Lytechinus pictus: one gene and its partners. The protein of the gene in region 1 purifies or fractionates together with the protein of each later gene. This does not show direct contact. Links are inferred from orthologs where the notes say so. Each region holds a gene or a part of one and is shown on either strand. Other genes may lie near its edges.

Region 1 (7,618 bases):
TCATTTGCGAAAAAGGGTATTTCTTTTTTATTTTAAGACCGCTCGGGGGACATTCATAATGTAGTTTTTAGTCTAAAAATAAATTGTGTCAGGAACTCGTTGGCTGCAGTAAATAAATATTGTTTTTAAAAATGGATAACCATGAGAAACAAAATAATCATATCCATCTTTAGTCGAAGTGCCAGGAATGAGCTCTTTGGCAAGCTCTTTGGTGTAAAAACCGCTTGCGAACCAATTCTGCACATTGAAAAATAAACGCTGACTAAGCAAAAGAAAATTATAAACTGATTGAAATTGCCGTTGCATACGATGACATGTTCAAATAAAATTGGAATCATGCAGTATTTTGTTTGTTATACACAAAGAAAACTCAGACCATGACACCCGTCATGATTTTTGTATCCAATATGATTTTATAACATATATTTACATCAGGACAATTTATATAATATAGACACACATAATAGAAATTGTAATAGATATGCATGCGCTATGCTAAACAGTCAATGTGAGTATGCAATCTTGACCTAAATTTGCCTTTTGGTAATTCAGGAAAGAAATAATAATTCTAGAAAATGAAATCATTTATGTGTTAGGTATATTCCGAACATTTTCCAAAATCGTTAAACCATTAATTTCACAGATTAAGTGTCAAAATTAAGTATTAAAGTGCGAAGTGGTCATTACAAGGGGAAAAGGTACGTGGAAAATACCACCTTACACCAGTATGGGACTAGATATCCGTCCCCGCAGACACGGCGATCAGCCCGTGTGCGCACGCTAAAATTTATCATTCTGCGGCTCTCGTGCTAGGAATGAACTTGATTTTTCTCTCAATTACGAAACTCATCGTGGAAAAGGTTATCCAACATGCAATGATATACTCGTAAAATTTGTCGTCATGTATCATTTACACACAGATAATAGAATATAACCCTTCTTTTGGAGAACTATTAGTAAGTTGTTCGAATCTAACGATTTTCTTTTAAAAATATAACAACAATTTACCTGATTTCAAATGCCTGCCATTTCTTTAAAAAAACTAGAATCAATAAGCCACCACCGTTATCAGTTGTGAAAAATTCTAGGAAACGTACTAAGATGCTTTTGCAAATAATTAAAATTTAAGGGGATATGAAAATAAGGATTTTGCAATGCTATATCAAATTTCTGTTATATTTTCATCAATTTTGGGATTGCATCGAAATGACTGATAATTCAAAGTCTTACCTAGCCTGGAGGCGTCTGGGGAGTGAAAGACATATATGGTTGGAACTACCCCTTATCGACCACCTAATCTTCTCAGCATCGTATCTGCGAAAATATTCATCAATTTTACCCAGTTTTAGTCCCATTTGTGCAGAAAATTGAGCAGATCAGATTCCCATGTTTCGCTCGGCGACTCCGATTCAATCCGCGTATATATCGACGAACAACGAATACGACGATTTTACATTTGCTCATTTGCACCCGTCTTTTGAAACCGACCACCCGCGATACACTAAGTTTACGGCCGATTCTTGTCGCGGTGGCGAAATATTTTTACTCTTCCAAATCAGTTCTATAAAGTCAACATGCTAAATGATCGTCTCACTACTTCCACTGCGAGCTCCGGCACATGATTCGACGATTGACGACGGATATTTGTTCTAAAGCCGTTTCCTATCGGATTTCTTGGTTTTTCAGCGGGAATTGGGTCTGGTCAATACAATTTTGATTAATTCTACTAAATTTTTACTTTTTGTTGCTTCTTTTTTTCTCGTAAAATCGATTCTTACCGTTTCTATGGACACTGCGCCTACTCTCCCGCGCGTATCGTTTGTAATACGCAATAATTTTAACGCGCGCAAGGTGGTCGGTTTCAAAAGAGGTGGTCGATATGTGGTAGTCTCACCATACTGTACGTATGGTCCCTCCCCTAACGCCTGGGAGCCTAAGCTATATTCCCACACGCACGGGTACAAAACCTGAAACTTTCGCCCCCGAGATTTCTACTTTCCCTCTAAAAGATCTAGCCCTAAAACATGTACATGGAGTTAAACTCCATTCCCAACATTTCTGCGATATTGATTACATTTTTAAAGAAGAATTCATGAAAAAAAACGAGGAAAATGTTATGAAAAGATGAGAGAGCTTACGGCCGTGTTTACGTCGCCATCTTGATTTCTTTGTCTTCCGCTTGGCGACAGCACGCAATCAGCACGCGATTGCGTGCTGTCGCCAAGCGGAAGACAAAGAAATCAAGATGGCGACGTAAACACGGCCGTAAGCTCTCTCATCTTTTCATAACATTTTCCTCGTTTTTTTTCATGAATTCTTCTTTAAAAATGTAATCAATATCGCAGAAATGTTGGGAATGGAGTTTAACTCCATGTACATGTTTTAGGGCTAGATCTTTTAGAGGGAAAGTAGAAATCTCGGGGGCGAAAGTTTCAGGTTTTGTACCCGTGCGTGTGGGAATATAGCTTAGGCTCCCAGGCGTTAGGGGAGGGACCATACGTACAGTATATGTCTTTCACTCCCCAGACGCCTCCAGGCTAGTCTTACCCACACTTGCTTGTAAATTCGGTATATGTTGTTACACTGATAAGTGATAGTCAATGTAAATGATAAACATTCATAGCCTCACTAAAATTCAATAAATCCATTGTTTTTAGAATTTTAATGTCGCAGACATTTTGGAGAGTGAGCAAAGTGATGCTTACAAACGTCGCTAACAATATTGCTAGGCGAAAAGGCCTTTCAATGGCGCGCTCCACTGAGTTGAGGCCGTGAACATACGTGTGCGCTGGAGCTGGAGGATCTAGGATCGAGGACTAGCGTATAGCCAGTAGCCATAGGCAAAGCGGCGGCGACCCGAGGCTGAGCCTGAGCTACGCGCGCGGCTTGCATTGAGACCATTTATTTCATCATGGGAACCATATTTACAAAACTAATAATCCATATTTTTGACAGCTCGAATACTCACAAAATACAGCATCAGATCATGCAAGTGAAAGAGGTCATTAGGTCAGAAATTGCCTGAATTTTACTCGTTTTCGTTAGCTTAGTTGGTTTTCCCGTTTTACAATACATGGAGTCCGTAAGATTACAAATTTTAAAGAAAAAATGGGCTGACCGTACCGCTAAATTAATGGGAAGTTCACCCTGAAGAAAAGTTTGTTTAAAAAGTACCATAATAATAATAAAAACACAATCGTGAAGGTTAGAGAAAAATCCATCAAAGATTTAGATGGTTATTAGAATTTCATTTTTTTATTTATGACGTCATATATGAGCAGCTGCCCCACAAGTTATGTAATATAAAAAGCATGAATTTCATTTTTTTTTTGGGGGGGGGGGTCATCGGGAGTGGGTGATTTGTCTGTTGATATATTGAAAGTACAATAAAAACAATTCACAATTTTTTGAGGAAATGACATTTCATTGTTTTTTTTATTCATGATACATGGAAAGCTGCTCCCATATAATATCACAAATAAAAAATTGAACTGATAACTTTTTAATCTTTCATGAATTTTCCTCTAACCTTCACAATGTTTTTTTTTTCAGTTATTTTTACAATAAGCATTTGTCAGGGTCAACTTCTCCTTTAAGAGACAACATAGCTGGATTCAAAGCCACTGAACTATACAATTTTGGAGGGCGAAACTGACAGTCAGTGAAGGGAGTAGCTTGTGGGGTGAGTTCGGGAGACGAGCACTATATTTGGCGCCATGTCTCAATCTGAAAAAATGATATAGCCCAGGGAAGGATGCTACCATAAATTATAGTACACTTAGGCCTGCTTCGGCACAAATGGTCTGTTTTCTACAAAAAAATATCCCTAAACACGATCTTCAAAAAAATACTGAAATATGGATTGTCTAATTTGTCTTCCAAAATTCTATGTCCTGTATTGTATCTTTTTTAAATGGGCATATAAATAACGACTGTAGGATGAGTGAAAATTGTTCTCCATCTTAATGATTGCTCTCCAATCTTCTCGGCCTCTTCTTCTGGGCCCTTCTCCCTTGATCCCCTCCCCTTACTCGCATGACTCCACAAAATTAATTCATAAACAACTATTTATCCAAAACTTTTATGTTGAACTTCTCTTTTAACGAATGGACTATACATGTAGTCCTAAATGTCTGGGAAATCTTCAAGGCAGCACTGAGGTTGTCAAAGTCAAGCCCACTTATTCCCCTTTCAGTAATTCATCCACTATTGGTCCATTCTCCATGCATAAGGACTCCACAGTCAAATTGCACTAAGAATTTAACAGCAGACTAATTAAGATTCTATTATCATGAATCGGTCTATCCCCAAGTAATGGAACTGACACTGAGTAGAGACTTTTGCATTTACATCTATCAAGCCCATCTTGACATACAAGCTAGGCTGTTCAGTAATTTAACATTTTCACGACTTGGGACTAGCCAGATCAAGGCAATGACTTTGTCTGAAAGTTTTGTCCCAACAAGGCTGACATGTTATACATTTCCAATATATCCTGAAGTTTACATCTAAATCTTAATCAGAATTTCTTCTTGGTAAAGAGCAACATGTCATCTCAAGTAACATATCAGGGGGCCGTTTCATAAAGCTGTTCGTAAGTTAAGAGTGACTCTAAGAACGACTGGTGAACCTTTCTCACGCGCTAAATAATCACCAACGAACATTTAATGGTGAATATCATTTACAGGGAATAATTTTGCTTTACAAATATGAATAGCATTTTTGGTTTTAAGAGAAAAGCTCTCAACTAAGTAATGTACAGTCCTATGTAAAATTATGCTATACAAAAGATTTTATGCATAGCAGTCTTTCAAAAATGTGAAGCAATTTGCGATGCGATACCAGGAAAATTATTCCCTGATTTACCACAAAAAAGGATCACCAGTCGCTCTTAACTTACCAACAGCTTTACAAAAAGCCCCCTGGTCCCTTATACTTGGGTAGTAGAATCACAATCACAAAAATCCACAAAGAAGACAAAAATTCATAAATTTTCATTGAAAACTCAATTTTATAATCAAGTAGTAGATCAATAAATATACTTATTTAAGGCACAAACACATCTTCACTATAAATGTCATTGTGTCACATCATAAATTATATTTGATAATCATCTACACGACTTCAAATCACTTCACAAGAATGATCTTTCGCTTACATGGGAAAGTTCAATGGCAATTAATACATGTACTGTGTTTTCTTATTATTACCTACGTAAGCCTTTGTATATATTTTTCTACCAAAGCTATTGAAATGGGGTGAGGTGTTGTTTTGCTTTACAGGCAACAGAAAGTTCATTGTAATAAAGGCTTTAATAATACCCTTCATAATCTTTAGATGCAGTGCTTATCAATTTTTACCAAATCTACACAAATTAGTTACTTCCTGTTTCTCAACCCTCAATTAGATATATTTTTGCTCTCCCACTCATGACTTTTATATAAAAAAAAAATAATAATAAAACTATTTTTTTTTTTAAATAAAAAATTCTACTTCAATAATCTCCTCCATATAATCACATAAAAGATTATGCAAGAATGATATGGCATTTCTGTTGTGAATCTATCTATTGCACTTATCAATGAATAAACTGATCCCAGAAAAATATGAGTGAACACAGGCCATGACACTTGTTATTACTTGTCAATCTGTTCCTGTTATTTGAGTGTGATCCCATAAGAAAATTCACTAACATTAAAATAAATGTTAAGTAAAATGCAATCAATGTTTTGAAATTTGATTGATCTGCACCCTCTAAAACTGACTTCAACTTAGTAACAGTGATCACACAAGACAGTCCCGACATTAACCCTCTAGAATTCAAAAGTCAAAGGAAATAGAACAGATCAAACCAAAGCCAAACTTATCAAAAACACAGTTTGGTGCTGTGACTCTATTAAACTTGCCTGTTCATGAAAACATAATCTGTATTGTGTTACCCATCAAATGTATCCATTAAATTACAAAATGTTAACCACCATTACTTTTCTGTATCCTGACACACCAGACACTTATGATTATCCAAATTCTTCTCAAATTGAATACATTTTAAAAAATGGATGGAAAACTTTTCGAAAATTAAGCTTTGTGATGGTTTTCTACAGACTGCTTATCAAAGAGAGTACTGTAATTCAGTCTGTGGTCTTTGTTTTCCTTCAATTATACCTAATGTGATGGAAGCAAAGGCATTTCCCCCAAAGGACTCAGGCCTTGTAATATTGAAATATTTTTTGTAATAGTAGGATTTGAATTATTAAAATTACTCCAATGCCATTAAAGGTATGATCTTGCATGCTACTAATTGGCTTCATTGCCCCACTTATTATTAGCCCTAGATATTTTTGGTGACCTTTTGAACTTTTTCACATTTGCGTTATATAGAAATGTGTTCTGAAGAAAAGTGGCCTGGCCATAAACCATCAAAATTACAGGCCAGTGTTGTAACATGTTTCCTTTGAATTAGAATTGAATGAGAAAAAAATACACGTCATAGAAAAAGAAAAATACATATAAAACAGTTTTATTACATCATGATTTGCTGGCCCATGGACACTCTTTATTTTCCTTCCAGCATCCATCTCCTTCTTCATATATTTCCTGTATAAATAGATTAGAGGATGGGAAAACAGATACAAGGGAAATTAAAAGAGAAAAAAGGTGAAAGAGACAATACATGAGAGATAAAAGCACATGGTGGTGTATGAAAAAGAAAAAAAAGACAGAAACAGTATAAGTGGGAGGGGAAAAAAGAAAGAAAATGAAATACACTGATTATATATGTCACTTTCAGCTAAGGAATTTAACACTCAAATTTAATTTATCCTAAATTATATTCTACAGACTTTAAACAAATAATAAAGAATATAAGTGAAAATTTTTAAACAATCTAAAGTCTAAATTTACCTGCACAATTCAAAGTAAGACTTGGGTGTCTTGCAACCTGATGTAATATCATGAAGAGATGCATGCAGGCGTGGGATTGTAATACATCAATTCTAAGGCAATTCAGTCACCCCAAAACAAAAAAAATTGGTCACAAGGGAAGGTATAGCAAAATTAAAATACCTTATCTGTAGGAGAAATTCTTCTTCATACTGTCAAAATTTCAAGTTGTAAAATTGAATAGAAAAGAAAAGTTAAGAGCACAAGTTTTTTGCAGACATCTAAGAAGTTTCACTAAGATCATAGTGTGCTTGAGTGTACCCTGAACTTTTGTTGAAATGTTGTTTTCTCCTTCTTTTTTTAAAGCCCTCACTTAGTTTCTTCTGCATTCAATCAAGCACTCGTGAGGGTAATTGTTAATCAATTTTGACAATTTATGTATCATATCAAAGCTTAGCATGTGCTTTTTTCAAACTCGATAATTTGGGCGACTTTGTTGATGTGGGTGGCTGGTAACATACTTTGTATGGAGGGAAATGAGAGGCAGCTTGTGAGTCTACCTACTGGTTTTTATTCCCTTCACAGGGTGCTACATAACTTTTTAGAAGCACTTTCCCGGTTGGGCAAGTAAATTTTTAAATAGTTGAAATATACTTGCCCAAATATCTATTTCACTTGCACGAAAAAATCCTTGAAAACAAAGTTTTACCTCTTTTAAAAAAAATATTGCGGTTTT
Region 2 (7,733 bases), on another chromosome or scaffold:
TAATAGAATCCGAGTGACAGTGACAGGATGCAGCGTAGCTCAGTCGGTTAGAGCGCATGTTTCGGAATTTAAGATCGTAGATCTCAACGAGTCCCGTTTATGCCGAAACATGTCTAACAAAAATCTGATGCTATGCGTTGTTAGCGTGCCTCACCACTGTATGCAGTGCCGGTGTGAATGCAGTAGAAAAACACTCCGTCCATCGAAAAGGACGCAAATGTTGGTCCCGCGTACATATAGCCTAGAGGCTTTTGGAGAGTAAAAGTAGTGCTACTGACGTAGGCTTACTCTCCATGAAGCCTGGGTCAGCATACCATTGCTCTACACGCACCGACGAATTGGGCAACAAATTGGCCAAAAGTTGCCAACCAATATTGTAGCCCATGTACACAAGTATAGGCTAAAAAATAAAAATAACAAGTATTTTGGCCAATTCGTCGGTGCATGTAGAGCAATGGTATGCCGACCCAGGCTTCATGGAGAGTAAGCCTACGTCAGTAGTAATAAAACTAATACTAGTACTTTTACTCTCCAGAAGCCTCCATCCAGGCTATGTCATGTACTGTACATATAGGACTCTAGACCAAAAGCTTCGGTCTCTGTTATGTTGGTTGTTCAGCTGGGGCCTGTTGCATGAAAGGGTCTTTCGTAGAACCATTCTACGTAAGAACGAGATATCGCTCAACTGTTTCACAAAGCCGATTTGGGCGATACGAAGAATGGTCCTTGGAAAGACACCTCCAGACATGTCCTTCGTAGGCATGATCTTCTTTGCACACCGCCCGCCACCGTCGGCATTGAGAGAAAATGCGTTTACGGCAAGCCATGCACACTGACATATCACCTTTAAACATTTTTTGGGGTTGCACACTGATGCATTTTATCTGGGATGGCGCCAAGTTATTTTTTATATGGGGGCTAGCTAGTTGTCATCAATTTCAGGTCGTCTTTTTGCACGGCAAGACGACCAAAAACAGATGTCATTTTAACTTCTCCGGGCATTATGTCCGGGGGTAATGTAGGCCCAAATATTTTTTTAAAATATGTTTGCTTTTATTCTCCGTCCTATCCCCACACCATTTCCATTACCGTAATTTTTTTTTGAAATATCGAAATGGGCGGCACTATCTCTTTGACCCCTCATGCTTTCTCATTATAGATAATTAAACAACATGAAAACAAATTTCTTTAAAAGAAATTGTGTAAAGTAAAAAACGTGTTTATAACGTTCAGCAAAAAAAAAGGATACAAAACTAAAATGTTAAACATGGTAAATCATTCATTTATTTTTATTTCATTTTCATTATAATTATTTTTTTTTGCTGAGATTGATATTAATCAATGAAAATTAATTGTCGGATTTTTAATTGGGCTAACTTGAGATGTGAAACAGTGAAACAAAACAAAAAAACTGCAGTAGCAAAATAGCTAATTGAATTTAAGATACAGATTAGGAGTATAGCTATATTACGAATCCATCACAATTATTACAAATGAAGATAAGCTAGCTAGTTCATTAAAGAAAAAAATCTGGAAAGTCCATACGAAGAGGCGCATTTTAAATCGTAGGGTACATATAGGCCCCTTTCGGCCCCTAAGTAATGTTAAAGCTTCTCTACTCCTCAACTTTGAAATGTTAAATATATATTTTTTATATTCTTAAAACTTATATTCTTATATAAGCTTCCATAAATTAAGTAATCAACTTTAAAGATGACCAACGTTTATGATCATTGTAATATTTAGCATTATTTCTGTAAATAGTATTTTTTCCATTGCGGATTGCACACCTTTTTCTATGTTTTAATTGTTATTGCAAAGCACTACTTTATCCACTTAGACATGTTTGCAGCAATTTTCATATTTTCCTTGTCTTCGGTTACTCATCATGCAATTGAGGTATGTTTGTACTCTAAACACTCACATTTGTATTTCTTGCGTTTTATCTGACAAATAAAATAAATAAATTAGATTTTTCACAGGCAGCCTCTCATATTTTCCTTTTTAGTCTCATACAATCAGACACTGTTGATTTTGTTTACTCCATTCAAACCCAATTTTTAACCTCAACAATTAACGCATAATTTGCAAAATTATCATTGTATATATGTATTCTATAAAAAATCAGTATATTGAACTAATAAAATGTCGAAATTACTTAGTTAAATCAATTTTTATGTCGGACAAGGGTCTCTTTCGTTGAAATATCAATGAAAGGTGTCTCTAAAAGGACACCGTGTTCTAAATAAGGGAAATAATGAAAATTTCGATTTTATCCAGTTATGTTTGTGAATCTTGAAAGTTTTTTCTCTTTTTACCTCATAAAGTACGCTCCATACATCAATTCTACAATCAGTAATAAATAAAACATTATTTGATCCCCTTTTATTGAAATATATGATTTTATGAAAAGTCGTCATTCCGAAATAAAAGGTTCAGGTGACGATGAAGACTAAATATTTTTCCGATACTATCGATATCAAACGATGTCGCGGACTTGAAAGACAAAATTGCCTTCGTGAAACGGAAAGCGCTGATTTGTCGCCAATCTTCCTATCTCGGAAGAATGGTCCTAGGACGTTCCTACGTATCGCTCATCTCGTCATGCAACAGGCCACTGAACTCCGTTTAACGGAAAGACAAGACAAGACAGTGTCAAACAATCAAGCATTTGTTCCAAAGAAAAAGAGAAAATAAGCCAAACATTGCCAACCTTATTTTGCAACACATGCCATGGAGTACTAACAGAGAACAAGGTTATATTTGCATTATCCTGGTTTAGGTCACCACTCCATTCACTGCCGTTCATTTCGTCAGCAGCGGTGATCTCATTTCCCATTGACTTTGTACACAACGAGCGCACACACACACCGACACTCACGAGAAGAGGTGACTTATTTCAGGATAAGGCCGTTATATCATGACCTTGTTCATTGAATAAGTGGACTAAGCCTAGGGCTAGGCTACTATATAGTATTAATGCAAATGCAGTAGGCCTAGATCGAACAATAATAATTAATATTCCTGCAATTATTCACTGCGTTTAAAAATTCAACCCTACACAGAAAATATGGTATGGGACTACGCCCAGCATTTCTTTACTATCATCTTCACAATAAAACCCATTTTACAGTAAAGCATTGTATCCCACAAAAATAATACGCTCAAAATATTATTACCTTCATCTGAGATAGGTTCTTAGAAAGTCTAATATTTTTGCTTTGCCCTCTCGTTCCGGCCATTTTGACAAGGAAAGCAACACTGTTTTACCTCTAAAACCACGCATACAGGCATTCGTTTTCATGAAGCAAACTAGAATTGGAAAATACGACACTGGAGAAGAAAAAAAAATAAAAATAAAAATGCACTTAGTTAGCAGGGACGTCCATGCCCAGGGGTGATGAGAGTCGTATAATATTTTGATTATCAAATAAAAAAAAATAACACAAATTTAAAAATGATAATAAATGATAAAATTAATAACAATAATAATAATAATTATCAGTGGCCGCGGAAGCGGGGGGGGGGGGGGGGGGGCTGGGGGGGATTGCTTCAATCCGGCCCCCACTTTTTTTCCAAAACCGTGTACAAAAACGTAAAATGACCATATGATAGTGATTTTTTGCATGGTCAGCCCCCTCACTTTTGGCTCAGCCCCCCCCCCCCCACTTTGAAAACCGTTCCGCGGCCCCTGATGATAATAATAATAATAATAAGTAATAATAATAATAATTAAAATTAAAAAAAGCTAAACATGCATTTTCGTTTGTTCATTGAACTTCTAATAAAGGGATACTCCGGGCTGAAAACATTTATATATTAAATAATTAGAGTAAAATTTACAAAGCAAAATGCTGAAAATTTCATCAAAATCGGATTATGAATAACAAAGTTATTGAATTTTAAAATTTAGCAATATGCACGCATCATGAATATTCATTAGATGGACTAATGATGTCACATCCCCACTTTGCCTTTTCTTACGTTATAACATGAAATCATAATTGTTTAATTTTTTTCATACATGAAATGTGTGAATAATGTGTCTCCTTTATAATGAAATAAGTTGCAGCAATGAATATATCAATATCATGCACTAAATCAGTTATCAATCCAATTTTTTCAGTTCTTGGTAGAAAAAAATTGAATAAACCTGATTTCATCTAATAAAATACAAAAAAACAAGTAGGGATATGACATCATTAATTTGCTCATTGAAAATCCATGACGAAATGCCTAGAAATCTGTTTAAATCATATTATTTTCAGCCCGGAGAATCCCTATATCAATTTTCATCATTTTCATGACTTTTTGTTTCCAAATTGAAAGACAAATAATACCAAATACCAATATCAAATAAAAAAAAAATTATATGTGTCGTTATTAAAAGAAAACGGGGGAAGGGGTGTCTCTAAAGTTAAATTAAGCAGGGTCACTGTCATCGAGTTGAATAGGCGCCTTATTGTTTTGCTAATGACCACACATTCAAATATGTCGCTCGATATTGTTTTGCTTTGTTTTCTTTTTTTACTTCCTTATTTTATTTAATTTATTTAATTTAATTAACTCATTTACTTACTTATTTATCAATTTTATTTATTTTTATTTATTATTATTATTATTTTTTTTTTTTTTTTTTTGGGGGGGGGGATACAGCGATCATGCACGCATTCACAATTACATGCACACACATACCATCTTCCCCCATGATTCACCTCTTTACCACAACAGGTAAATTTTAAAATGTACAACTTTTTTGCAATGATTTTAATTGTCGGGCATTCTGTAACCCCAAAATGTTAACAAGATAATCGACATCAATAAGTGAATGCGGCCTGCCATCAGCCGGAATTTACATGTTTTACGGCGAGCTATTAGCGAACTATCTATTTTGCAGAGTCGAACCCATTCTACGAAATCCAAACTTCCTTTTTTCGGGTCGGGAGAGGGGACTTGCCCTAATGGATGATGACTGGCCCCCTCGTACCCCTGGATTTATAATGACATGATATTACTTGAAAATGCACTCTTTTCTGATAAAATCAACGATATAAATTCTCTATTATCATGATTTTACTGTTATACACTATGCAACATGATCTTGATGGTACCTTACTAAACATATTTTCTTTTCATATTGAGGGAAGTGTAAACTCATCAATTGATCAATAACATTATACTGCATGAAAATGTACCATATTCTAACAAAAGTAGCGAAATAATTTATGTATGTACGTACCACAGTAATTAGACCATGTAGAGTCGATTATAAAAAAAAAATTACACCTGTACTACACCCATCAAATATCATAAATTGCCTCAGCTATAACATATTCAAAATTCCGCAAAAATTAACGCATAATTATAACTGAATATTCAAGTTAGACCCATAATCTATTAAACATTCTTTAAAAAAATAAGATAATGCAGTTGTTAAGGAAAACATATTCCAAATTTTCATAAACGTTTACCATACTCATAAACATAACGGAATATAATTTTCAAATTCTATCGATTGAAAGGCCATAAATTCATGACATGTGTAATGTTCATAACAATGATAAATCCTGATAAATAAAGATTTTAAAACTACTAAGGAATGAATTTGAGTATAATACGAATAAATTGGATTATACAGTATATAAAATGAAATGTACGCAAACGCACGTTTATTCTAAAAATAAACATGCAAATTCGATAAAGTTGAATGTAGTTGTACATCATCCTCCATCATGCATGTAAGAAGTCCAACGCCATCAAAATTTATATGAATTTCGGCCACGCTTATACTTTAACTCAGCTTGACAACATTTCTCTGGGTAAATGACATTATATACTTGATTAAAAATGACAAAACTTTTAAATGACACATTCGCATTATCATATATAAAAAAGCTCCTGTTGAAAACGTGAATTCAAAGAGGTGAACTGATAAATACTAAACTCGAAAGTCAAAAACGGGCCTAAGCTTTCGATCCTAGCAGAATCTTCGTCGGAGGCAAAATGACCAAATACTAAACTCCTCAAAAAAAGTTTGGAAATCTGACTTTGATCGATAATCCCTCCTCGGATTTAATAAATAACAATGTTTAATTAATATCAACGAATGGGACATTTAATTTTCTTTAAAATGATACCCTACATGATATGATTATGGTTCACATGGAGGTGCAGTGCCTTGAAATGTGGGGCAAGTTCAAAATTTAAAAGTTGCAAAATGACACAATATTGAACTTTACTGTTCTTTTATCCGTGGTGATGAGTGAGTTTCTCAGCGGTTTCTTTTGACTTTGATCGGTATTAGTAAATATCAATGTGTAATTAATATTAATGAATAGATCATTTAATTTTCTTTAAAATGATACCCTACATGATATGATTATGGTTCACATGGAGTTGCAATGCATTGAAATGTGGGGCAAGGTAAGAATTCAAAAGTTGCAAAATGACACAATATTGAAAGTCACTGTTCTTTTTTTCAGTGGTGATGAGTGAGTTTCTCAGCGGTTTCTTTTAACATGTTTAATTGTTTTCATGCACCTTAACATCAACATTAACATGGAATCAAACACACCTCTGCACAAGCAAACACATAACAAACAAACATGCATGGGTATTTCAAACCACGACTCAAACCATGTTATCTCACAGAACCATCACTACAGAAGCAGGGGCTTGATTTGAAAGGATTTTCATCTCTATTGACGCAGACAAAAGAATAATGTTCTGTATCATGTGTATTGACCGATCATAACAAGCATGGAATCATTTTAAAGAGAATTAAATGATCTTTTGAATGATGTAAAATATGCATTGTAAAATTGGGAGTTGGGAGAAATTAATGGCCAAACACAGATTTCCAAACTTTTTTTGCTCGTTTTGCAGCTTTTCAATTCAGACCTCATCCAACACTTTTGAATTCTGTTCTTTTCGTGATGGCATGATCATAACAAGCATGGTATCATTTTAAAAAGAATTAAATGATCTTTTGAATGATGTTAAATATGCATTGTGTTAAATTGGGAGTTGGGAGAAATTGATGGCCAAACACAGATTTCCAAACTTTTTTTGAGGGGTTTATATTTTGTGTACTGATGATGAAATTACTATATGTTACAACCACATGTCGTCTTCCTATTTATCTCAACTACTTCCTAGAATGAAAAATGGGCATGCACTAGCGATTTTGATTGATTATTTAGTGATTGATTGCAAACATTTGCATTACAGAGCCTCGATCTACTTGTGATAGGCTATCAGAAGTAAAATGACACGTAACAGATTGAGAATAGTTTAATATTGCCCCCCCCTCCCGTTCATGAAAATATCCATCGGGTAATCATCTGAAATTTGACTAACATTTATGGTGAGTGTTTAATGAAATAGTGTATTGATAACGTATGAGAAAAGAAAATGGGCAATGAATGAATGAATGATAGGCAATACCCTTTTCAAACTTCATATCACATGATTTTTGACAAATTAAATGTTCACAGTTTGATTCTAATCATTCCTAATTCTTTTAGAATATAGATCAAATGACAATAATATTTTGAAACCGAAATTGGTATACATGCATGTTTCCGATTTTTTTCATCATGATACAAACACACAAGCATATATATTCATATAATAATTGGAATAAGCCTATGACAGGAGACATATTGTAGTTATAATTTCGTGTAGTACAGTTCCTCGGTTCCTTTCCAACGTGATCATATTCCCAAGTAAGA
Region 3 (7,670 bases), on another chromosome or scaffold:
TTGATCTATTTTGCTACTTTTTCAGAAGTTATAGGGAACATTTGTAACTTTTAAGTAATTTTTATCATGTTTTAGGACTTGAAGATTATTTTTGTGTTTTTTTTTTTTACAAATTCAGAGCTTTCTAAATTTTGTGGTCCTACTAAAGGCTTCAAAACCTGATTTATTCCGCGTTTTTCCAAAATTAATGTGGTGGATTTTTTAGGAAACTCCATCATTGTTTACCACGTTCGACACACAGGTCTTTAGGGCCAGTGTCTAGGCTCCTTGATGAAAAGACAAATAGATCTAGGTCTATCATACATGTAGAAATATCATAGTGCTCCTGCCTTGGGCTTAGACAGGAATAACTGTTGTTTCTGGGGATTTATTCAACAATTTCTGACATTTTACTATCATCCCCATTCACCAACGGAAGTACGTAAGTGCGAGCTCTCATGTGTAATCATTTCTCCCAATTCGGGCCTATATTGTTTTGTCTATATTTTTATTTTCTTGAGGTCTAAATGATATTACATTATCTTGAACGATTGCGCACTATTTTCGTTAGACTCTAATCTTTCTTTCGATACTACGAAATATGAAATAAAAGATAGAAAATATATGTTGCTGATGATTTATTCCTTATTTTTACAAATTTTTTGCCGGAGAGGGAAAACGTTCGTTGAGATAGTCTTTTATCAAAGCTATCCGATTAGACTTTTCGATATGGGAGCGACAAATTCCGAGAAGCGTTATGCAGCGGCATAAATCATGATATATGGCGACTGGTAAAGACGTCTGTAAGGATGATGACGTCATTCAAGATGGCAATTTACGATGACCAACGAAAGGATCGAGGATGACTATGTTTTTATCAATTGAAGGGAATTAGCGGTAACTGCGGTCTGAAGTATTACATTTCTTAATGTTATATATTTCTTTGTCAAGTTGGATGTAAAATTTCTTCTTTGTAAATGGGATATTTTATGTACAAAAACGATCTGAAAATCGGTTTTTTGCCGAATGTTACTTGTTAGATCTAACGTTACTGCTAAAGTAAAAGTTACAGCTTTACGTACAGGCCTCCATTGACTTCAGTCTATGTATTGGTGAGAAGCCACGCAGTTCAGCAGAACAACCAAATACAGAGACTGAAGCTTTTTGGTCTACTTGGCCTTGGACTTTATAAGACTTGGCTACCAAAATTAAAAAAATTATTCATTTCATCAAATTCATGATCAACTTAGAGTTAGATCTATCATCTAGCTATTCCACCACATTTTACACACTTCTGATCGTCTCCAACAGGCCGTTCCCGATACTCCCCTTCTAGCATACCGACGCCCACCGAATCTCAGGGACCTCATTGTTCGTGCTGAAGTGCCCTCCCTCACTAACCATTCTTCTCCCATACAGCATGGCACCTTCAAATGCACCAGCAACAGGTGCATCATATGTGAAATACACCTTCACGAGGGCGATACTTTCACCAGCAACTCTACCAGCCTGTCTCACCAAATCAAGGGCAACATCACATGCACTACCACTAATGTTGTATATCTCATCACTTGCAGAGTTTGTAGGGTACAATACATAGGGGAAACCAAGACCACACTCAAGAAACGATTCTATGGGCACAGATCCACCGTCAACACAGCAAAGCTGGACACTCCAGTTGGCCGCCATTTTAACCTCCCCAACCACTCCATCACTGACATGATGCTACAGGGCATCGAATCTTTAGGTACCCGTCCTGACTCAGTCCGTACTAGCAGGGAGAAGCTCTGGATGAAACGACTTCGCACCACCCAACCTCATGGCCTGAACATCCAAGAGGGGAACGACTGATTTTTCTTTCCTATCCACTTTCAATTTATATATACATATAATTTTTCCCCTCAGCTCTTTTGAATAGTTACATTATAGTTTCTTACTCTACTTTCCTCCCATATCTCATACAAGCTCAGCTCCAATTTTTCCTTCCTTATTCAGGCGATATAATAATAATTATTATATATATATATATATATATTTGTTTTTTCTCCACTCACCTCTTTTAGATTTACCACATTTGCTTATTTACATGTATACTATGGTTTCTTCATAATACACCCCCTCTCTTCTATATTTGCTTTTACCTTTTTAGGCAATTTGCTTCCTCTTTTTCACATATACAGGTTTTTTTGTTTGTTTTTTTTCCTACTATATAGTCTTATGTTTTTTTCCCGTCACACCTAGCGGATTACAATATCAGTTACACCATATGTGTATTTATATATTTTTTCATATACATTTCTTTTTTGGATATATTTATATACATATCACTTATAGATACATATTTACACTTACCTTCTTCTCTTAGTTTGTTTAATGCTTTATCATATATACTTATATGTCTTTTGCACATTATCAGTTGTTCCCCATTCTTTTTCTTTTTTTTCCCCCACTCTTATGCACCAGTTTATTAAGCCTTTCTTTGTAACCTGTTTGACCCACCTCTCACTAATTCTCTTGTTTTTCATCCCATTATCACTGTTTTGTTCCAGATCCTGTTTGATGTTGCCTGCCTCATTATTTTAATCCCTCCTGGCTTGAGGTCTTTTACTGGCCTTACTTACACTAACTTCCCTTTGTGTCTGCCTACTCCTTTTCTTTCATCCCCTTCACTAACCCGATTGGTCTTCTCTACTCACTAATGCCCCGGCCTTTTGTCTCCTTGTTTCTAGTGTTGCTGTAGCTTGTTTGTGGTCTATATTATGGTTGTTCCACTTTATATGTTTGTCATTTTGCCTCCGACGAAGATTCTGCTAGGATCGAAAGCTTAGGCCCCTTTTTTACTTTCTAATCTAGCTATTCTATTTCTAGCTCTCTTTTTTTTCATTCCGAGTCCGACATTGCCATGAATAATTGCAGAGTGCTTGAAATCTGTAGACTGTAATTGGCTTCCCTGTAATTTCTTCAATTATATCATTATCAAATGTTTAACAACGGGTGTTTCCTTACTTTAAGTTTACTATTAGTAGGCCTATTAGTTTTGCGGCGCGGCGAACTGCAACTGCACTGAAAATTCACCACGACTCCGATGGTTACCCACGCCGGCAGTCACGGCCAATGATTAATGAAGATGAGCGGTTCCGTGACGTTAGAATAGTCAATAGAAAGGGATTCTTGATCTCTACTTACCGGTTGATGCAGTTTATCAGTCCGTTTCTTATACAAAAAGGTGCTTTGCGATTCATCTGGTCCTTGAATGCGCTTGGTGTCAGTCGGCATTTTTAACAGTTATGTCTCAAATTTATATTAAATTTGGAAAAAGTGCTTAGCTTCGTCAACCTCGTTTAAAATTTCAGGATCGTGGGTGCAGTGATATGGTAAAGTTAGCTGAGCAAAATAATAGGGAAAACACCAAAAGCATTTCGCTCATAATATGAGCGATGTGCGGAGGATTCAAAAACAAAGTAAATGTATTAAATATGCCCGTCAAATGACAGAGAACATGGGAGGTCTTTATCGAAAATTTGTGACCCGGAACAACACTTTGGTCCTAAGTTTTAGGCCTGGCGAAAAATTGCAACTGTATTGCCGTTTGTCCAGAATCAAGGGCACTGTATGCATGCATGCTTATTTAATTCATCAAAACTGAAGCATCTTCTTCTTCTTCCTCTCCCTCCTCTTCTTCTTCCGCTTTTTATATTCTTTCTCCCCATCTTCATTCAAAAATGAAAAAAATGCCATTTTGATTGTAAGTGCATTGCAGTCATCTAAAAGTCCTTAAAAGCTTTGAGAGTTATTAATATGCTAATGAACAGTTTGGAGAGAAAAATTGAATATGTGAAAATATATATCATTTGTAAGAAAATCTAGATTCTACTGACATTATATTCTTAGAGGATTATTTCACCCGAAGCAACACTCACTTTAGACTTTTCTAATTTTCGAGCCTCATTGGCTAAAAAAAGCGGATGAATAGAATATCTCATTTTTATGTGCTCGTGATGCATTCCATGATATCCAGGTATTGAGATATTCACTTTTGAAATCGGTTATTGGAATATTTAGATTTAGAGATAGTTTTATTCACTTTCCGTTCAATATCATAATTTATGATACATAAAATAGAAGAAATCATGAACTGAATTGAGGTGAACTAAAATGATTTTGGCTGATAAGTAAATGAAATAGAACGGAGGACACACCAAGAAATGCCATGCTGGTATGAGAGGCAAGCCCTGTAACTTATGGTTTCAGTTATTTTGCAAAACGAGTATACATATACAGCAACATTGGGGGGGGGGGACGGAAACTTTACAGAATGTAAACGTTTTAACGAATGAGTGACAGTAACTTTAGACAAAGTGATTATGATACAATATTAATAATTATAAATAATAAATAGTATAAATGAAATTATAAGTGAGAGAAAGAGATTGAGAGACGAAAGCGATTTTCGAGACCTTCTTGTTATTTTGTGAGTGTCTGATGTAAATAAGTAGGCCTAAAACAAACTTCTCCATTAAAAAAAATCTTTGGATAGTAGAGGTCATTTGTGACATTGTCTAACTCTGAACAGAATAGATGAATGCCATTGAGTATCGTCTAGGTTGTTCTCAGCATAGGAAAATCATGGGGATTTTATTTTTGCTTACTTACTGCGCTCGCCCGTCAATTCTATGTTCATCTAAGTTAATTTCAACCAGCGATTATTTTTGTTTCAGCAATATTATTTATATAATACTTTCAATGTCTGTACATAAAGTGTAAACTATGTCGTTATCCCTTAATTGTATAGATGTAGGATTTCAAAATGCACAATTAAAAACATATGCTATTCGACAGAAATAGTGGTCTAGAAATATGGAATTTTTTTACTTATCGTATAGGCTTACTTCATTTAATTCATTTTCATTAGGCCTATCATTGTTTGAAATTTATTTCACATAGGTGGAGCAATGTGGCCCAGTGGATTAGTCTCCGGACTTTGAAACAGAGGGTCGTGACCGTGGGTTCAAATCCCAGCCATGGCGTAGTTTCCTTCAGCAAGAAATTTATCCACATTGTGCTGCACTCAACCCAGGTGAGGTGAATAGGTACCTGGCAGGAATTTATTCCTCGAAATGCCCTGATCGCTGGAAGGCTGCATGAACTACAGCCGGGGTAATAATATTCAAGTCATTTGGACGGGCATACAGTCTTTATTCATAATGTGATATGCGCTATATACAAGAACTGTCTATTATTATTTTAAATCCGACAACAATAATGCATATTTATTAAATTACAAATAAATGAGAAGTATAGAGGAAATATATAGTTGTAACTTAATTTCAATGGGAGGAATATGATGGGACCTATCATTCGTGAGCTTATCATGTACACTAAGAAAAAAAGAAGCACTTTCTTTTGATGGGTGCATTCTTGCACCTAAAGTGAAAAAAAAAGTTCCAAACGTGTATTATGTTCTTCTAGCTTTCTCCTGGAAATGACAGTTTGCTCCCTTTTGCGCTTGTTCCATCACAGATCCAGTTATCACGTCGGTCGGGCAATTCGAGAAAAGGTGAGGGCCACCTAAATTCCCGAATAGTCGGGTCCAGTTCACCCGACCACTTTAGAATTTTACTATAATTTTCACAAAATATCGGGTAAACTGGACCTGACCTTTTTGGGAAATAAGGATGCACTTTTCTCGAATGGTCGGGTAATTGGACTCTAACTTTTCGGAAATTTAGGGGCCTAGCTTTTCTCAAATCGTCCGGCTTCGTGAAAACCCGACCCGACGCGACAATACGATGTGATGACACAAGCCAGATTTTTGTTGAAGGTACATGTACTGCGTATGGTATACAACATAGGCAGCACGACCCCCTGGAAATCAGATTCGTATACGTTACAATGTGAACATTGAAATCACTAATTTTGCAGCGAATCACCCCCCCCCCCTTTTTTTTTTTTTTTGCTTGTTTTTTTCCAAACCCCTATTAAAAATCGTCCCAAGGGTCCTGGATGTACGACACGATTAGCACTAGTGATCATGACATTCAAATATGTTGTTCTTGACCAGTTTGGCTCAGCTTCGTTGATCCTTCTTTGATTTTCATGCTTTTACACGAGCTAATTTGCTTTAATGGTTTCATTGTCCTTTACCGCACAAGACTTCCTTTACTTAGGACTTCAGTAGGTAGTAGATAAATATTTTTGTTGTTATTAATTATCTTATTTAGACGATGGATAACACAATCTATAGCATAATCTCTATCAGTGGCGTACCGTGGGTCACGGCATTGGGGGGTACCAGCAAAAAAATTGAGTCACTTAGAGAGCGCGCAAAGCGCGCTCGGTTACCAGTTGACATAATAGAGACATTTTAAGGACAGTGCCATTAAACGGATATGTATCTCACTGATCACATAATGCGAAGCGCGAGCTGAAATTTTTTGAAAGTCAGACCTAAAAAGGGACATTATAAGCAAATTTTTGTAATCATAATAAGTACCTGTCTCGCTAAACAAACAATGCGAGCGCGAAGCGCGAGCTGAAATTTTTGTATATATTGAACCCCAAACAGGGACATTTTAAGGACTATATTCTAGGAATCTATTAAGAGTATACATATTTCACCATAGCCATCTAATGCGAGTGCCAAGCGCTTGCTGATTTTGTTAGAATAATATACATCTAAACACATGAAGCACTTGTAGTCATTGTAATCATGATTAACATACCCATCTCACTAATCAAATATTGCGAGCACGAAGCGCGAGCTGAAAATTTAGGAAATTCAGACCTAAAGAGGGACATTTTAAGGCTTCTTTGTAGGAATTCACGAAGATCATACGTTTTTCACAAACCAAATGATGCGAGCGCGAAGCGCGAGCTGAAATTTTTGTATATATTGACCCCCAAACTGGGATATATTAAGGACTATGTTTTTAAGGAATCCATTAAGAGTACACATATCTCACCATAGTCATCTAATGCGAGTGCCAAGCGCATGCTGATTTTGTTAGAATTACATCTAAACACATGACGCATTTTTTGTAGTAATTGTAATCATAATTATCATACGCATCTCACTAATCAAATATTGCGAGCGCGTAGCGCGAGCTGAAAATTTAGACCTGAAGAGGGGGCATTATAAGGCCTGCTTGTAGGAATTCACGAAGACCATGCGTATTTCACTAACCAAATGATGCGAGCGTGAAGCGCAAGCTGAAAATTTTTGACATTCAGATCAGAAAAAGGGACATTTTAAGGACGTTCCACAGTTAAAGTGAAATCCATGTCATTTTCACCAAACTTTGCACATAGATATTTTAGAACCTTAATATTCGAAATATGCAAAAATTAACATAGGTCCATGTGCTTGATTTTTTGCTATAGAGCTTCAAAGTTCACCCAAATTGATGTTATTAAGAATTGCGCATTCAAAAGAATTTGGCATTTTTAGACCGCCCAAGATTACTATAATGAGTTTAAACCTATATTACTCAGTCAAAATACATGAAAAAGTCATCAAATTTCGCAAGAGAGTTAATAATTGTATCGTTAGAATGGAGAATCTATTTATAATGCTATTTGTTTGCAATTTTAAGTTTAACAGCACTGTCAGTTCTTAAAAATGGCGTAAAAGATAACAAAATCCCAATCTAAAAAATGTAAAATTTAAGTAACAAACTACAAACGTACAATAA
Region 4 (8,200 bases), on another chromosome or scaffold:
GGGTGCGGTTTATCCACGGTGACGGGTCTGAGCCAGCCCGTCGTAACCCCTCCCGAACATGTAAGACGTCTGCCAGTTCACAACACATCGAGTGCCCGGGCGTAGTCGCCCAGGGCAATGTCGTTTAGAGGGGTATGAGCCGTGGTTAATGAGAAGCGATTATTACGATCTTCTCAAATATTGTCCATAACAAACGCACCCACCTTCATGACACTAATTTCGACTTTATTCTCGGTTCAAAGCAGCGAAATTCCCTTTCAAAGAGACGCCAAGCATACTCAGTAATATTTTGCCACAGCTGAGCGAGCGCGAGAGTTGAGTGAGCTGCGCTGAGCTAGCTTTTGTTGTATTGTGGTCAGAGCTGCGCTGAGCTAGCTTGCGTTGTATTGTGGTCAGTTATAGTGCGACTTAAGCTGGCGCTATTCATTTTAACCCTCGATCCCCTCCAAAGTCCCGTTTCGCGCCAGCTTATTTTTTCTTTCCCATTTGCTTTTCATAAGATACCATGTACACCACGCACGAGAGAGAAGACACTAAGCCTTAAAACAACTGTAAAAAATGCCAATTTCTTTGTTTCTTGAACCTTCCTGTAATCCCGTATCCAAAATTCATGCTAAGACATTGAATGCTAGACAAATTCTGAAAGTGATTGTGAGTTTGTGATGCAAGAAATGTGATTGTTTCTGCCTCCTACGCCGGGAAAGACACAGATCATTATTTGATAAGATGTACTGGTACCGTATCGTAGTTTGCAATGTACAAGAACGGCAGTGCTGTGTGTGTGTACACTGTGACTGTGAGGTGAGTGAGTGTGTAGGTGGCCAATATTGTCGGGACCTTCCTTTCTTGCTAACATTTGTAGATGAATTGATCAAGAACAGCAGATTTCCGCATACAGGTAATCTCTTTGGATACTTTGAAATCTTTAACTTAGTTTTTGTTTCTTCGTACTTCAAATACAATGTGAGGATTTTTTTTTTTTAGTCCGAAGTTGGGGGTGCGGTTAATCCACGGGTGCGGTTTATAGTCCGTTACTTACGGTAATCATTTATTAACTTCTTTGTGAAATTATAACCTTTTTTACATTGAAAGGATGCACAACATAAATTAGTAATAATATTATTGTGAAAAATGAGATTTTTTTAAAGTCAATGGCAACAATCAGTGGCAACAATAGTCAAATATGACTAATCAATAATAACCTTGTCCTCTGTTAGGACTCCCATGTGTGGGAAAAATAGGGTTGGCAATGTTTGGCTTACTTTCTCTTGTTCTTGGTATAAATGTATCTGGGACAAGCTGAGTTCCCAATAAGAAAACTTAGGCCTGATGAGTGATGCTGAGCTGAATTTTGTGCCAGGACACTTCACTTCAATGCAAAGTTCCAGGACATGTGCAGAGCAAGCACAGCAACAGGTTTTTTTTTTGGGGGGGGGGGGGATAAAACCTGGCCAGGTCTGGCATGTTAATGAAAGTGTGTGCTGGGCATAATTTGACCTGGCAACATCTACAAAAGTCTGATGTCAATAATATTACAATAGTCTCGACTTGCACAAACAAGTTTAAAAAAAATAAAACACTTTGAATTGGTGCACACAATTGGCATTAATGCAATTTCGTATTGGCCGACTACGAGAGAATTTTCCAACCAGCAATTGTTCGCAAATGTCATTAGGAACTTAGTTAGGAAGTCTCTCAATCACATTTTTCTACATAGTACAGGCACAAGGCAGATCATAATTCATATGCCCATCGCTTTTCCGAATATCGCGATCAGCAGGAACGGCTGTATTTTGGTTGGATGTCGAGGTGATTGTCGAATTTTCAGTCAGACATCACTTGCTTTTGGTCGCTAACTTCAGTCCTTAGGCATAGCATAGCCATAGGCATATCAAAATTTATAGTTTTACACGGTATGGCGCTTCCATTTCCAAGCAAAGCAATGTCTGAGTCTGACCGAATCTGACTGAGGCTGAGCTGAGAATGAGACGAGAATTCAACAACAATGAAGCAGGCTTAGGTCCACCCATGGGTTCATATCATCTCGCGTGCGAAGGAATATCAGTCATATGCACGCGACACACACGACAAGTCAAAAAGATAGTGGGCTTTTGCCCACATAAAATATCACCAATAATCTGGTATTTCACATTCTGCTATGACACTTACCGAATCATTTAGATCCTTCCGTGACTTCTCCTTGAAGTTTTTTCTTAAAAATATGTATATTTTCTTGATCTTTAGTGAAGATTTCACGGAGATAAAATTTGGTCAGCGTAGATATCAATTTTCGCCTAAAGAGGGCGCGCGATTTATATTCATATCAAAGACACGACAAGGGAAAGATTAGGAACCTACACTATTTTATACGCAAATCGACGCAAGGCATTACGCGAATTCCGTGAAGTGTCCAATCTTTTCATTGTATAGACTTTGGTATACCATGACGTTCGTTAATACTGCTTGTACTGCTGGTTTCGTTCCAGGCATGTGTATTAAAAAAAATAAAAATTATATTAGTCATCGCTTTAAATTAATTGCAACAAAAGTGTTATCATCGCCAATAGTAATCCTGAATTATGTTTTTGAAGGTATTTTATTTATTGGTGCCCATAATTAGTAAATTAATCATAAGAATTGCGCATTCAAAGAATTTAGACACAGTTATAAAATTACCGAGGAGCTGAATCAAGGTTGTGAAATTTATTAGCGCCACCAACGGGCTTCCTTGTATTTCCGTAGAAGAGACAAACGAAGTCACTTGCTAGGCCGAGGTAAGCGAAATTTGCTCTTTTTAAATGAAATGAGTTCAATATCATATGTATAATTTTGTTATGTATTGCTACTTACCGGAAAGAGCCCCGGTGCGTAGCGAGAAGGAGTTTCGGCAAATATTACTTCAGCAATGAAGCAATGTTTGCCGACTACTTCAAAATCTACGGTCAAACAAGGTCCGGTGTACGAGGTTCGTATATATATACGAACCTCGTATTACTATTAAGTATTAGTGTGAGTGGCTTAGGACAGTAACTTAGGTCGAGATCCAACCAAAATACAGGGATTCCCTATCTCGATATTCTGAAAAGCGGTGGGCTTACTATGACTTGCTATGACATTTGTGAACAATTACTGGTGAGGGAATTCTCTCGAAGTCCGCTGGTGCGAAACTGCATTCGCGCCCAATAAATAGGCTAAATAAAACATAAAAATGAATAGGTGGGACTGGCATTTGAAACCAGCTGTAGAATATAACAGACGTTACATCCAAAATCATATAAACTGCACTAAATAATTAGTATTCTTACATGTCAAATTGGTTATTCATCTCTAGGTCCCCTTGTTGAGGTCTAAATGCAGATAATTCACGGTTGAAATCTCGTAATCTTCTGAATTCCAAGTCATACAGAATGATCCACGCACGTTCACGATATCGATATCGATAAGTATACTATCGGTTTTTTTGCCGGCGCGGCGGCCGGCGCGGCGCGGCCGCGCCGCCGGTCGGGGGCGCCGGGCAGGAGGGGGCCCAGCCAGCCGGGCCGGTGGGGGCTATAATTTTTAGGGTTTTTTTTATTATTATTGTTTACCGGAAGTGTTCACTGTTCAGAGAGGGTGGTTCGTCTAATTTGGGTACATTCATATCCAATTTATGTATAAATTTATACCAAAAATCAATGTGGACGCGACGGATCTAGACCTCTAGATCTACTAGGCCTAATAATAATAATAATAATAACAATGAAAGCAAGAGAGAGCTTTCCTTTAAAATGAACTGGCCCAGCTAGATTAGACTTCGAGATCATTCGATGCAATTAGATCGATAAATATACCCTTTTTTATTGATGAAATATACATGTATTTTTTAAAAATCAATCCCAATCCCATGTGATTTCTCAAGATGAACATTTTTAAGTAATTAAGTTTAAAAAAAAATCGTGTCTGATGTTATAAGCTTAAAAGGTAAGAGCAAATATCCCCGATCCCTCGTGGTGATCTATATCCGAAAAAAAGGTTATAATGACAAGAAAAAAAAATACAGATATTGAGTATGTTTCATTATATTTATGTGTCGTTATATGATTCATTGTCAAACAAAAAGAAATCAGGAAGAAAAATTCGCCTATAATCTGTTCTCAGCAACTGAATGCCACCAATACCAACAACATACCGAAAATGTGTAGGGCCTATACAAAATTATTATATCGTATAGACCATAATATGCAGCAACAACAAAAACATAAAAATGGTAAATAGAATTTAATTCTTTTCAGTGGTTTATTTCATTTCTATATCCATTTTTCAACACACAAATCAGAAATAGACCTTCATAAATACATAGGCCTATCAATTACATAAATAAATAAAAATCAATCATAAAAAAATGAGCTGACACTTGCTAATTGGCAATAACACTGCAAAAAATACAATAAATAAATATCAAAGATAGATAAAACATTTTCAAAAGTACATGTATGAATGTATGCTTAAAAACAAAGAAAAGAAATGTAAAAGAGACCAAGAAACGTGGCTTGTATAAATGCAAGAATAAAAAAAAGCAAAATCACCAAAAATATTAACATTGAAAAAAAATGTATTAATGAATCATACATAGGGCCAACGAGAGAGAGAAAAAACAACTGACAACAGGCGATTAAAAGCATGTTCATGCTAAATTAGCAATGGGGAAAAATAATCCTCACCACCTCACCACCGCTGATTAGGGAAAGTTCACCCTGACAAAAGTTGTAAAAATAGCAGAAATAATATAAAAAAAACATTGGTGAAGGTTTGAGGAAAAACCCTAAAAGAACTTTTTTTTAATTTACTAGAATTTCAATTTTTGGATTTGTGACGTCATACGCGAGCAGCTTCCACATATCGTATGGTAAAAAAGCAAACAAACAATGGAAATTCATTTTCTCATAAAATTGAAAATGGTTTTTATTGTACCTTCGATCAGTATAGGCCTATACCAATCAAAAAAAATATGTCACACCCACTCCTGAAAGAAATCAAACAATTAATGAGTCATCATGAACCACTGCAAATTTAAAATTTATGCATTTTATAATGGGGCAGCTGCTCATATATGACCCAAAAAAATAAAAAAAACTCTAATTAAATATTATAACTTTCTTAACCTTTGATGGATTTTCCTCAAACCTTCACCAATATTTTTATAATTTTTAGGGTGAACTTCCCCTTTAAACAATTTTCATGTTAATAGTTCATATTTCTTACGTTATGAATTTTGATTGAATCTCCTAGCCGGTCACCATTGTGAACTTATTTTTGCGTAGTTTTATATGAGGGAAAATAAATTCGGCTTAAATAGTCAAATTTGACTGAAAATCCGTAAAAAATCACCTAAAAAAGAAAAAAGAGTATATTATAGACCGGCTTGACCAGTGATGTACGAAGGGCCTATACAAATGGGGGGGGGGGGAGCCTTTTGTCAGACCAAGAGAAAAAGAAAGGAAAAAGAGCTGGGTGAAAGATATTATTTTCTGAATATTATGTCAAAATCTATCACAAATTTGGATTTATGTGAAAAGGTGTCAAAAATTTTGCTCGCTCGCTTCACTCGCTCGCAAAAAAAAAAAATTTCCCAATATGCCATATCTGGCCTTCTCAAAATTTTGGGTTCACGTCGCCACTGCATGGCCGGGCTTGACCTTGTATCACGAAAGAGCGTAAAGTATTATTATTATATAGTTTTGATGATAAATAACATTTATTCCGCACCTTGGATATCGCCTTCTTAAAAAAAAATGTAATATATGATTTAATGCATGGGCATGACGGGTCTTGAAAAGGGATCGAGGGGGCTCGGCTAATCATGCAAAAAAAAATGATAATAATTAAAAGAAAAAAAAAACCCAAAACAGATGGTGAAAAAATGGAGGATGAAGCTTCATCTAGTATTCTTTTTTGGTCTTCTTCTTTTGTTTTTATTTTTCTTTGAACTTTATTGAAAGATTGCCTTTCCCCCCGTGGTGGGGGCAAATCAAGGGGCAAATATATGTATTACATACGGTACATTTTCACTCACAAGTTTTTGCCAAATCTATAAAGTAGTCGAGCACCATCTACGTTCACTTCTGTCACGACGAAAGCAAGATGGCGGCTTCCATGACGGCAAAATCAAGACTTCTTTCTCTTGTGGAAGAAGCAGAAGTGTTAACAAAGTGAGATAAATTTGATTATACTGTGTATTTTTGGTGATGTGATGAATACATTTGATGAACGATTTTGGTTCTCTCTTACCTAACTCTTGTAATGACAACTTGGGCTTGGCCTTGTTCAGATGTTGAACGACTCTCGCCTCGCCCTCGGCCCTCGGCCAGCCCAAGCCAGGCAGCCGCGATTGGAGGAGGGAGCCAGCGGCAGCGCTACTACTTTGCTGGGGATTGATATACCATGAAGATGAGAGGAAAGGAAAGAAAAACAGAGCATTAGATTCTACGAGTAAAAGAGAAAGTGCACGAAATGAAATAGAAATGAATAATAACAGAAAAAGAGGAAAAGGGGTGAGAACCCAAGAAGAATAAAACAAAAGGGGCAATAGAAAAAGTAAAGTCAAAATGAAATGGGGAAGTAAGACTAGGCCTAGAGCAAAGAGGAGAGACAGAAAGAAAAAGAAACAATGGAAAGGAGGGATAAACGGTGGGAAAGAGGGATATTTTGTTGGCATACATCTCACTTTATTGCATGCTCATAAGTCGTACTCAGTCATAGACAGCTGGCAGCCGTCTGTTTTGAGGAGTTTTTTAACATTTTTTTTTTTTAAGTTCTCCTCATACACAGACGGCTCGCTAGCGTGCAGCCACCATTAGGGGACTTGCAATGCAAAATCCCCCCGTCGGGGCTCTTCAATTTTTGTCTTTAATCAATAAACATTTTGAAAATTAATGCGACCAAAATGCAAATTGATATTCCCTCTTGGCATTAATTGCCAAGAAACGGTGAAAAATCGAGTTAAAAGGAACAAAAACAGTGACTTACCTCGGCTGTCGCGCAAATTCACTTCCCCGTTTTATCCGATCTTAAGTACATAAACATATGGCCATTGAGTCCCCTGTACAGATCGCGCTAGAACTTCGGTCTCTGTATTTGGTGAGTGAAGCCAACGGAGTTCAGCTGAACAACCAACATAACAGAGACCGAAGCTTTTGGTCTAACTCAGTCATAGACCACAACATTACACTTACAGAACATACTGTATTTTTTTTCTTTCTAATACTGTCAGAATTGCAAACTTATCTGTAAAGGAGCTCTTGAAAAATATTAATTTGTGTTTTTGTTTTTGTTTTTTACACAGAGACCTCGGTGAGGCGACATCAGCAGTTAGGCAAAGAGTTCCTCATCCTGATGAACCTCAAGTAAGTTCTTCTTAATGACTGTGTGACATTAAGCTAAGAATTGAAAAACAAAGCAAAATCTAACAAAACAAAAATAATGGATCAACAGAAAATTCTAATTATTGTTTTTTTGTTGTTGTTGTGTCAATATACTTTATAGTGTAAATATCATATTTTCAGTGTGTATTTTAACTTGGCCCCTTTTTATAAGCTATGCCTTTTCCTGGGTCACCAAACCATCATTTTATGGATGTATGTTTTGGTATTTGTATCGATATGCAAGGCTCGACATTAGCGGTGGCCCGGTGGCCCAGGGCCACCAAAAATTCACCTCGGGCAACCATTATTGATAAAATGTTAAGTTTTGGTGGCCCGAATCGGGCAACCAATAATTTTCAAAGTAGCGCAATTTTTCTCCCAATTTTGCACGCATTTATCAACTTTCTACAGCTCAAATTGCAAGCCAGTTCGTCATGCGCCCTTTTTGTTGATCTACACACAAATACACACACACAAAGTTTGCATATTAGGCCTACAGCTATAGCATACAGCAGCTATTATCCAGCCAACCGCGCCGGCCGGCTGGCGTGAGCTTTGCATGAAGCCACTGAATACAGCTGTGCTCTAGATCTAGCTCAGCCTACTCAGATTCGGGGAGCTGCGATAAAAAATGTTGCTGCTGAGAAATCTTCCACAGAACTTTGAAAATCTCAGTCAAAGTCACATTTTACACCAATGAAATGCAATTCTACAGTCTATATTACGAAAATCTGGTGTACCCTGATTATTTGCAAGTATTAAGAAGAGGAATTATGACCTCTCTTTTGACTCAAAAAGAC

Evidence for each region.
Region 2: the proteins of DIS3-like exonuclease 1 (region 1) and M-phase phosphoprotein 6-like purify together in Homo sapiens (affinity purification with mass spectrometry; 3 studies listed by BioGRID and IntAct, with this or other methods). This does not show direct contact. The link is inferred for Lytechinus pictus from reciprocal best matches to the Homo sapiens genes DIS3L and MPHOSPH6.
Region 3: the proteins of DIS3-like exonuclease 1 (region 1) and exosome complex component MTR3-like purify together in Homo sapiens (affinity purification with mass spectrometry; 3 studies listed by BioGRID and IntAct, with this or other methods). This does not show direct contact. The link is inferred for Lytechinus pictus from reciprocal best matches to the Homo sapiens genes DIS3L and EXOSC6.
Region 4: the proteins of DIS3-like exonuclease 1 (region 1) and eukaryotic translation initiation factor 4E type 2-like purify together in Homo sapiens (affinity purification with mass spectrometry; 3 studies listed by BioGRID and IntAct, with this or other methods). This does not show direct contact. The link is inferred for Lytechinus pictus from reciprocal best matches to the Homo sapiens genes DIS3L and EIF4E2.

What each region holds. Positions count from the first base shown.
Region 1 is NC_087249.1:24,491,160-24,498,777, forward strand, and holds the start of DIS3-like exonuclease 1, read right to left. Parts: upstream 3,104-7,618; 5' UTR 2,969-3,103; intron 1-2,968. Other genes in the region: molybdopterin synthase catalytic subunit-like, read right to left, coding at 6,529-6,597. UniProt on the Homo sapiens protein: Catalytic component of the RNA exosome complex which has 3'->5' exoribonuclease activity and participates in a multitude of cellular RNA processing and degradation events.
Region 2 is NC_087246.1:60,405,985-60,413,717, forward strand, and holds the start of M-phase phosphoprotein 6-like, read right to left. Parts: upstream 3,390-7,733; 5' UTR 3,243-3,389; coding exon 3,180-3,242; intron 1-3,179. Other genes in the region: deoxynucleoside triphosphate triphosphohydrolase SAMHD1-like, read right to left, coding at 7,716-7,733. UniProt on the Homo sapiens protein: RNA-binding protein that associates with the RNA exosome complex. Involved in the 3'-processing of the 7S pre-RNA to the mature 5.8S rRNA and play a role in recruiting the RNA exosome complex to pre-rRNA; this function may include C1D.
Region 3 is NC_087245.1:11,454,719-11,462,388, forward strand, and holds the start of exosome complex component MTR3-like, read right to left. Parts: upstream 3,505-7,670; 5' UTR 3,256-3,504; coding exon 3,166-3,255; intron 1-3,165. UniProt on the Homo sapiens protein: Non-catalytic component of the RNA exosome complex which has 3'->5' exoribonuclease activity and participates in a multitude of cellular RNA processing and degradation events.
Region 4 is NC_087260.1:10,323,253-10,331,452, reverse strand, and holds the start of eukaryotic translation initiation factor 4E type 2-like, read right to left. Parts: upstream 3,428-8,200; 5' UTR 3,326-3,427; coding exon 3,306-3,325; intron 1-3,305. Other genes in the region: mediator of RNA polymerase II transcription subunit 4-like, read left to right, coding at 6,121-6,188, 7,322-7,382. UniProt on the Homo sapiens protein: Recognizes and binds the 7-methylguanosine-containing mRNA cap during an early step in the initiation. Acts as a repressor of translation initiation.